Macaca fascicularis: one gene and its partner. The protein of the gene in region 1 interacts with the protein of each later gene in a biochemical or structural test. Links are inferred from orthologs where the notes say so. Each region holds a gene or a part of one and is shown in the gene's direction. Other genes may lie near its edges.

Evidence for each region.
Region 2: the proteins of USP51 (region 1) and ZEB1 form a complex in vitro, tested with the Homo sapiens proteins (2 studies listed by BioGRID). The link is inferred for Macaca fascicularis from reciprocal best matches to the Homo sapiens genes USP51 and ZEB1.

Annotation. Positions count from the first base shown.
Region 1 is NC_088395.1:55,607,338-55,611,832, forward strand, and holds the start of USP51 (ubiquitin carboxyl-terminal hydrolase 51), read left to right. Parts: upstream 1-1,511; 5' UTR 1,512-1,570; exon of another isoform or gene 1,571-2,097; 5' UTR 2,098-2,272; coding exon 2,273-4,495.
Region 2 is NC_088383.1:32,244,432-32,248,246, forward strand, and holds part of ZEB1 (zinc finger E-box-binding homeobox 1), read left to right. Parts: intron 1-2,348; coding exon 2,349-2,454; intron 2,455-3,815. UniProt on the Homo sapiens protein: Acts as a transcriptional repressor. Inhibits interleukin-2 (IL-2) gene expression. Enhances or represses the promoter activity of the ATP1A1 gene depending on the quantity of cDNA and on the cell type.

The DNA of each region.
Region 1 (4,495 bases):
TGCTGTTTACATATCTGCTGCATAAATGAATCTAGGTAGGGCTGGCATTCTCATGATTCTGATTTTGCACAAAAGAAAGCAAAGGCTCAGAAGACAGAAGTATTTATAAATTGTGCCCTGCCTCTCTGCCTGCATAAAGGGTGCAAGGCTGTCTCAGAGCAGCTGGGATCCACGCCACAGGTGGCGCAGCTAGCAAACGACTGACTCAGCATTTCCTTCTAGCTCTGCGAATGCAGAAGCAACTCTTTGCTTAGCTGTGACTGAGAAAATGCCCTTCCCTAGGGGAAAAGAAACACGTTTTCCTGCACAAGCCAGTCTATAATTCCAAAGCACTTTCCCTCCAGGTGCTGGTAGGTGACTGAGATATGGTCGAATCTAGACCAAGTCATAAAATCACTGATATCCACAGTGCGGACATATCCACTAGATGCCACTGCCAAGTTAAAGAGAGCTGAATCCTAATCGTGAGGTTTTGAGGGGAGATGTGTGACTTTTTCAGAGAGATTAAATGTAGCATTAAACATCCTCTGTAATAAACCGTAATTTTCTTGGGATTGGACAGGAAGGGCAACAAGCCCTGGAGATAGCTTTCCTCCGGGGTTGTCACCTTGGATGCTGGATCTGTCACAGAAAAGGAAAAGTCTCCTGGCCTATGGACTTCAGGACACAAACAGTTGTATCTTGTGCTTCTCACAGCACAATCTAGTGCTATAATGCACCGATGGCATCTTTGTTGAATGCATGCTCCTGTACATGAACCGCCTAGGAGGGATGATAGCGTGAGCTGAGCCATAACTTGGAGAGAGCTTCGAAAGAGAAAGGCATTCTCTTCTCCTCTGCTCTGCATCAGTTGTTCTCTAGGCTGATTTTCAGGTCGGGACTGAAAAAAGAGGTGTGAAAGATAAAGCTTGCCAAAAAGGTCTTTTACTTGATATATACTATGACTTAGTGTTCACATTGGGTTAGGGTTATTATTTCAATTTCTCTTAAAAAATTGACACAACTAAGGCTCAGAGAAGTTAAGTGTTTTATCTGAGGTCACACAGCAAGCATGTGCCTGGGCTCAGGTCTCTCTGAGCCTGAGCCCTTGCTTATGCTTCCTCCCCTGCACATTCTGGGATAATCTCTCTCTCTCTCTCTCTCTCTCTCTCTCTCAACTCCCAGAGACCAGACTCTGACAGGATCCTGAGGGATTTCTGCCAGGGAGTTGCCATCTCTGGAAGCCCCCACCCCCATGCCGGGCGAATCTTTTTTTCTGTGGAGTGCGGGCCTGGAGCTAGGTGAGGCCTGAGCCTCCATTTCAGGGGCTTTCTGTAGAATCTGTTGCTGCTGTTGCCTCCAGTAGAGTCTGTTTCAGGAAGAGGTTTGCCTGCCTGCGCGGGACAGCGGTGCCATTCATCACTGCAGGAGGGCAGAATCCGGGGTTGGGGGCCGCACGTCGAGAGGGGAGGGGCCAGGGGGCGGCCCCCTTGTGACCAGCCCTGAGGAGAGGTCAGGAGAGAAGGCTGGCTGAGGAGCGCCTGGACAGCAGCAGTTGCTGACGTTCTATATCACGCGCCTGGGGCCCAAGGTAACCCAGACCTTTAAACAAACCGCCGGGCTGGGGGCGTTGCGGGGGCAGGAGAGGGAAAAGGGAGCGGGGACTTCGGGGATCGCCCGAGGATGGTGGTGGCCTTAGAGGTGGCAAATGCCTGAAGGGAGGGAGTAGTAATCCGAATTCTAGGAGAAATCGTAGGAATTGAAGTCGCAGAAGCAAGAAAAGGGGTGTGAGAGCACAAGAGCGAAAAAGCGTGAGAGGGCGCAAGAGCTGGGCGGAACGAAAGTGCGCTGAGGGGCAACGGCTTAGAGTGGAACACACCGGGTCACAGAAGTATAGATAAGGTAGGAGCAGAGGGACACTTTCTTCCTCTGAGTTCATTTTCCAAAAGTGCGTCCTTTCAGCCATTTTTGAGAGAAAATGTTGACCCAAGTGTTTTTTAGGATACAGGGAAAGAACGTCAGAGGAAGCTGCACCAAAGCGAGGCTGCGCAGGGCGCAAAAAAGCAGACAGAGGGTGGCGCCTTTTTTAAAGAAGTTTCCATCCTTTCTGTCCTAAAGCTCAGGCCGTTCCCCACCCCCACCGCTCGCTAGCCTTCTGTTCCCAGTCCCCTGGCCCCTGCACGATCTGAGCGTCTTTAAAGCAGGTAACCGCCTCGGTCTCCCCATCAGCTCCAGGGGCCTCTCAGTTGAGTGGGTGGAGCCGGCAGCGGCCGCGGGCTGAGCTCAAGGGCCGATGGGAGGGGTCCTGGGGGCGCTAACTGCGCACTGCGGCCATGACGCTGGGCAGATCATTCACAGAAGTCTGTCTCGTTTCATCTACAGTCGCAGCTCGTTTCCAGACGCCTTGCTTCTCAGGTCGAGCAGTGATCTGATGGCCCAGGTTCCAGAAACTTCTTTGCCCTCCGGCTCTGGGGCCCGCTGGATCTCCGGAGGTGGGGGAGGAGCCTCTCCTGAGGAGGCGGTTGAGAAGGCGGGGAAAATGGAGGCGGCGGCGGGGGCGACGAAGGCGTCTTCGGGACGGGAAGCTGAGGAGATGAAGCTGGAGCCATTACAGGAGCCTAAGCCCGTGCCGGAGGAGAACTTGACGTGGACCAGCAGCGGCGGCGACGAGAAGGTGCTCCCTTCAATCCCCCTTCGCTGTCACAGCAGCTCCTCGCCCGTTTGCCCGCGCCGCAAGCCCCGCCCTCGGCCCCAGCCCCGGGCCCGCTCCCGCAGCCAGCCTGGGCTGTCGGCCCCACCCCCGCCTCCGGCCCGGCCCCCGCCCCCGCCGCCACCCCCGCCCCCATCCGCACCGCGGCCCAGGGCCTGGCGTGGATCCCGGCGCAGATCCCGACCTGGGTCCAGGCCTCAGACACGGAGAAGCTGCTCTGGTGACCTAGACGGGTCGGGGGATCCTGGCGGCTTAGGGGACTGGTTGCTGGAGGTCGACTTTGGTCAGGGTCCCACAGGTTGCTCTCATGTGGAGAGCTTTAAAGTAGGTAAGAACTGGCAGAAGAACCTGAGGCTGATCTACCAGCGTTTCGTTTGGAGTGGGACCCCAGAGACTAGGAAACGTAAAGCAAAGTCATGCATCTGTCATGTATGTAGTACCCATATGAATAGACTCCACTCTTGTCTCTCCTGTGTCTTTTTTGGCTGCTTCACTGAGAAACATATTCACAAACATGCAGAAACAAAGCAGCACCATTTAGCTGTAGACGTTTATCATGGGGTCATATATTGCTTCATGTGTAAGGATTATGTATATGACAAAGACATAGAACAGATTGCCAAAGAAACAAAAGAAAAAATTTTGAGATTAACTTCCACCTCAACAGATGTTTCTCATCAACAGTTTATGACATCAGGGACTGAAGACAAGCAATCAACCTGTGAGACAAAGGAACAGGAGCCAAAATTGGTGAAACCCAAGAAAAAGAGAAGAAAAAAGTCAGTCTATACTGTAGGCCTGAGAGGGCTAATCAATCTTGGGAACACTTGTTTTATGAATTGTATTGTTCAGGCACTTACCCATATTCCTCTACTGAAAGATTTCTTCCTCTCTGACAAGCACAAATGTATAATGACAAGCCCCAGCTTGTGTCTGGTCTGTGAAATGTCTTCGCTTTTTCATGCTATGTACTCTGGGAGCCGAACTCCTCACATTCCCTATAAGTTACTGCATCTGATATGGATCCATGCAGAACATTTAGCAGGGTACAGGCAGCAGGATGCCCATGAGTTCCTTATTGCAATATTAGATGTGCTGCATAGACACAGCAAAGATGATAGTGGTGTGCAGGAGGCCAATAACCCCAACTGCTGTAACTGCATCATAGACCAAATCTTTACAGGTGGCCTGCAATCAGATGTCACATGTCAAGCCTGCCATAGTGTTTCCACCACCATAGACCCATGCTGGGACATCAGTTTGGACTTGCCTGGCTCTTGTGCCACATTCGATTCCCAGAACCCAGAGAGGGCTGATGGCACAGTGAGCAGGGATGACCACATACCAGGAATCCCCTCACTCACAGACTGCCTACAGTGGTTTACAAGGCCAGAGCACCTAGGAAGCAGTGCCAAAATCAAATGCAATAGTTGCCAAAGCTACCAGGAGTCTACTAAACAGCTTACAATGAAAAAATTACCCATTGTGGCTTGTTTTCATCTCAAGCGGTTTGAGCATGTAGGCAAACAGAGGCGAAAGATTAATACCTTTATCTCCTTTCCCTTGGAGCTGGACATGACTCCGTTTTTGGCCTCCACTAAAGAGAGCAGAATGAAAGAAGGCCAGCCACCAGCAGATTGTGTGCCCAATGAGAATAAGTATTCCTTGTTTGCAGTGATTAATCACCATGGAACTTTGGAAAGTGGCCACTATACCAGCTTTATCCGGCAACAAAAGGACCAGTGGTTCAGCTGTGATGATGCCATCATCACCAAGGCTACCATTGAGGACTTACTTTACAGTGAA
Region 2 (3,815 bases), on another chromosome or scaffold:
GAACTGGTGGTGAAAGCAGAAGATGCCATTATAAAAACAAACTCCAAAATATTTAATGAGCATGAAAACCAATTCTATGATGATTTTTCCAGTGGGTGCAAACGTGGTAGGATTTACATATAAACTGTGGGTCAGACTAAGGTCAGGAAGGAGCTGTGATAAATATGGGGACCAGTAATGTGAGGAAATATAACAGGTGTTGGAAACAATTTAGTTTGCAAGGTAGCAAACTAAAAGGTAGAATGTGTATTTTGTTGGCCCTTGAGAATCATACTGTGACTAACAAGCATTTTCAAGCCTTACTAACTTATTTATTCAACAAACATTTGCATTTCTTTTATATGTGAGGCCCTCTTCTGGGTGTTAAAGGCACAGTAGTGAAAAAAAAAGTCCCTGATAGTAGGGACCATACATTAGTAGATTATATAAAACAGAAATAAAATAATATGTACTATGAAGAAAAATACAGCAGGATAAGAGGATAGAAAATGATGAAAGCTGCTAGGTTTCACAGAGAAGGGAGACTTTTCTGAGAATGGGACATCTGAATACAGTTAAGAAGCCAGTCATGGAATATTGGAGAAGGGCATTCCAGTCAGAGGAAACAGTGAAACGTAAGAAAGCCTTGAGGCCAGAACCTGCCGGGCACACCCTGAGAACAGCAGAGGCCAGTGTGAAAGGGAGAAAGGTAAGGCCAGAGAGGCGCTGGGGGCTACATATTATAGGCCGATTTGTAGGCTAAGATAAAGACTTTGGATTGTATTCTCAAGTGCAGTGGGGAAGCCTGCCAAGGATCCTGGAATTTTTAATTTTTATTTTTAGGGGAACACTGACTGTTGGATGATAGATAAGAGAGACAAGAACGGAAGCAGGGAGAACATTTAGAGGCTTTTGCTGTAATCTAGGCCAGAGAGTTTGGTGGCAGACAGATAAATAAGATTGTTGGCTTCAGAATATGTTCATATGCTTGCTGATGGATTGGGTGAGGGTATATGAGTAAGAGGGTAATCAAGAATAACTCCAAAGTTTAAGGCCTAAGCTATAACCAAATAAATGAGAGTGCTATTCACAGAGATGGGAAATACTAGAGAAGGGGCTGGCTTGTAGGAGGGAAATTAAGAGTTTGGTGTTAATCATGTAAAGTTTCATATCTCTATCACCTTCCAACTGGCAATATCAAAGAAGCAGTAGGTTGTAAAAGTCTGGAGTTAAGGGGAGAGGTTTAGAGATAAAAATTTGGGAGTTGTCACCATATATTTGGTATTTTAAGTCATGGGTTTTAATGAAGTGGGACCTGATTCAAAGTAAGTACTAATTCTCTTTCCTTCCTGTATAAAAGGCAAAGGAAGGGAGATTCCAGTTGGGAGAGCATGAAGCAGTAGTTGAGTTAAGCCGTTAAAGGATGGGTAGAATCTTAGTAGTCAAAATTATGGGAAAACACAGTGAAGGAGTAAGGAATTACGTAAGCCAAAGCCAAAAGATAAAGAGGAGCAATATGTGTGCAGGAAACCATGGCTCGCAAATGACTGAGACATGGACTTGTCATAAAAAACTGGTGAAAAATCATCTTGGAAACTCAGGGACTAAAATCTTGGAATCTATAGACTCAGAATCTTTATTGAGGGATTAGTGGAGATCCTTCAGCGGTTTATGAGCAGGAGTTGATAGAATTCAATTCAAGCAGTGCTTTTGTAAGATTAATCTAGGTGTGAAGAATACATTTGAAATATGTGAAAATGGGAATTTGATAAACCAGACAGAAAGCTATTATAATAATCCCCATTTGGCTGAAAAAAACTAGAAGTATCTTTTTAATCATCAAAGTACATTTTTGGAAATATCAAATGGAAAAGACAGGATAAAGTACAGGGAAAAGCCTGTCTTCTCTTCAGGACCTTGTTCTATTGAGTGAGTTTTAAACAGGTTATTCAGTATTTGTGGATGTGATTTCTATATCTATAAATTGGAATGCAAACAAATTAACCTCTAGTTCCTAGCAAAGTATATATTACTTTATTTTTGCTAATTTTGAATATTGCTTAATAAAGGATGAACTCTTTAGATACTTTAGATACTTTAGATACTTTAGAAAGTTGATATTTTTCTGTATCAAATTCTGTCCCCACTGTCACTATCCTTTTTGGTAATAATTTCAAGAGTTACATTTTTGTGACTGCTACAACTGCTAGTAATTTCAAGAGGTAGATTTTTGTGACTGCTGCAATTTGAGGTCTTTAAGGAACAAAACAACCATCAGGCTCACAAAAATGTTACTCTTAGCAGATTGGATGTTCTTTAGTCTAAAAATCTTTTGCTTTACAAATAAAATACCAATTCTTTTCTTACAGAGACATGTGACGCAGTCTGGGTGTAATCGTAAATTCAAGTGCACTGAGTGTGGAAAAGCTTTCAAATACAAACACCACCTAAAAGAGCACTTAAGAATTCACAGTGGTAAATATTTTTTTTCTTTCTACACCCTGAATATCAGCATATGTGGTAATAAATAAATATCGTAACATGTGATCTACGTACATGATCAGAAACTCCTTGCATTTCTTTTGGCATACACTAATAGGGAGAAATTGTATGTTTATTTTCTGTTTTATTAGAGTCTTAACCTTTGATTAAAGTATATCAAATTAATATAGTATGACATACTCCACATTTCCTAATGAGAAGATAATATAGCATGTTTTAGTAAGTACAACCTGAAAACACGTTAACTTTCTGATGAATGTAAATGTCATTGCCTCCTTTGCACAATTAACAGGGGAATGGAAAAGAGTATAGAGATACGATTTGCACAAGAAAATAGGGAAGTGAAGGATGTCCTTTATTTGAGAGAAGTAGAAATGGAACTCAAGATTAGAAAATATTGGAGAGATGATATGGAGGCAATGAGAGGGGGTGAAAGGATTACAGCATTAATGAGAATCTAAAAGAAAAATGTGCTCACCCACCATCTTCACCTGTCTATTCCATGTCATTCTCTATATTACTTACAAGGTTAATACTATTATGTGATGAAAGTGTTGTGTCTATTTTAGGAACTCAGAGTAAACAGAGAGCTATGTTTACATTTCTTTGGAGACTCTACTTGAACAAAAGCACAAAAGGAAAACTCTCTAGCATCCCATGATGCGCTATGAAATCTGTTCATCTAATAAATTTTGATATGTTATTTTAGATTTAAATAATTTTAATGCAAAAATTATTAACCATGAATGGGAAATTATGGGTGCTCACACATTGCTTATTTTGTGAAAATTATGTATTGACATTTACATTTTACAAACATCTTCTTACAAAAAAAGTATAGTTGGATAGCTTTGTGAAGCGTAGTTGGTGATATGTATGTTTTATTTTGGAACTGCATTTCTAAAAGTTTTACTGTATTGCTCATTAAAGCTAACCCTCAGTGTTAAATGTGCTGAAGTTACCACTTGAAAATGCTCAAACCAAGATCCTTACCAAAACATTTATTTTCACACATTGATTAATGTTTCTAAAAAGTAGAGGTTGTCTTTTGCAGCCTGCCACAATATCCTATTTCTTAGCTCCTATGCTATTGAACAGTTTTTATCAATAATAATATATTTTAACAACCTACCTTCTTACCAGAGATGATTTAAAGTTGTTAATAGAGATATAGCTAATTTCAAGAGGGATTTTTAAATGTTGAAATCAGGGCAGAGGAAGGAAGATAAAGCTAACAGTAAGATTCATGTATATAATGAGTCATATTCATTTTGTCATAGTGCAGTCGTAGAGGAAAATTTATCAGATCTATAAATAATACAAAGTTGGGAAGT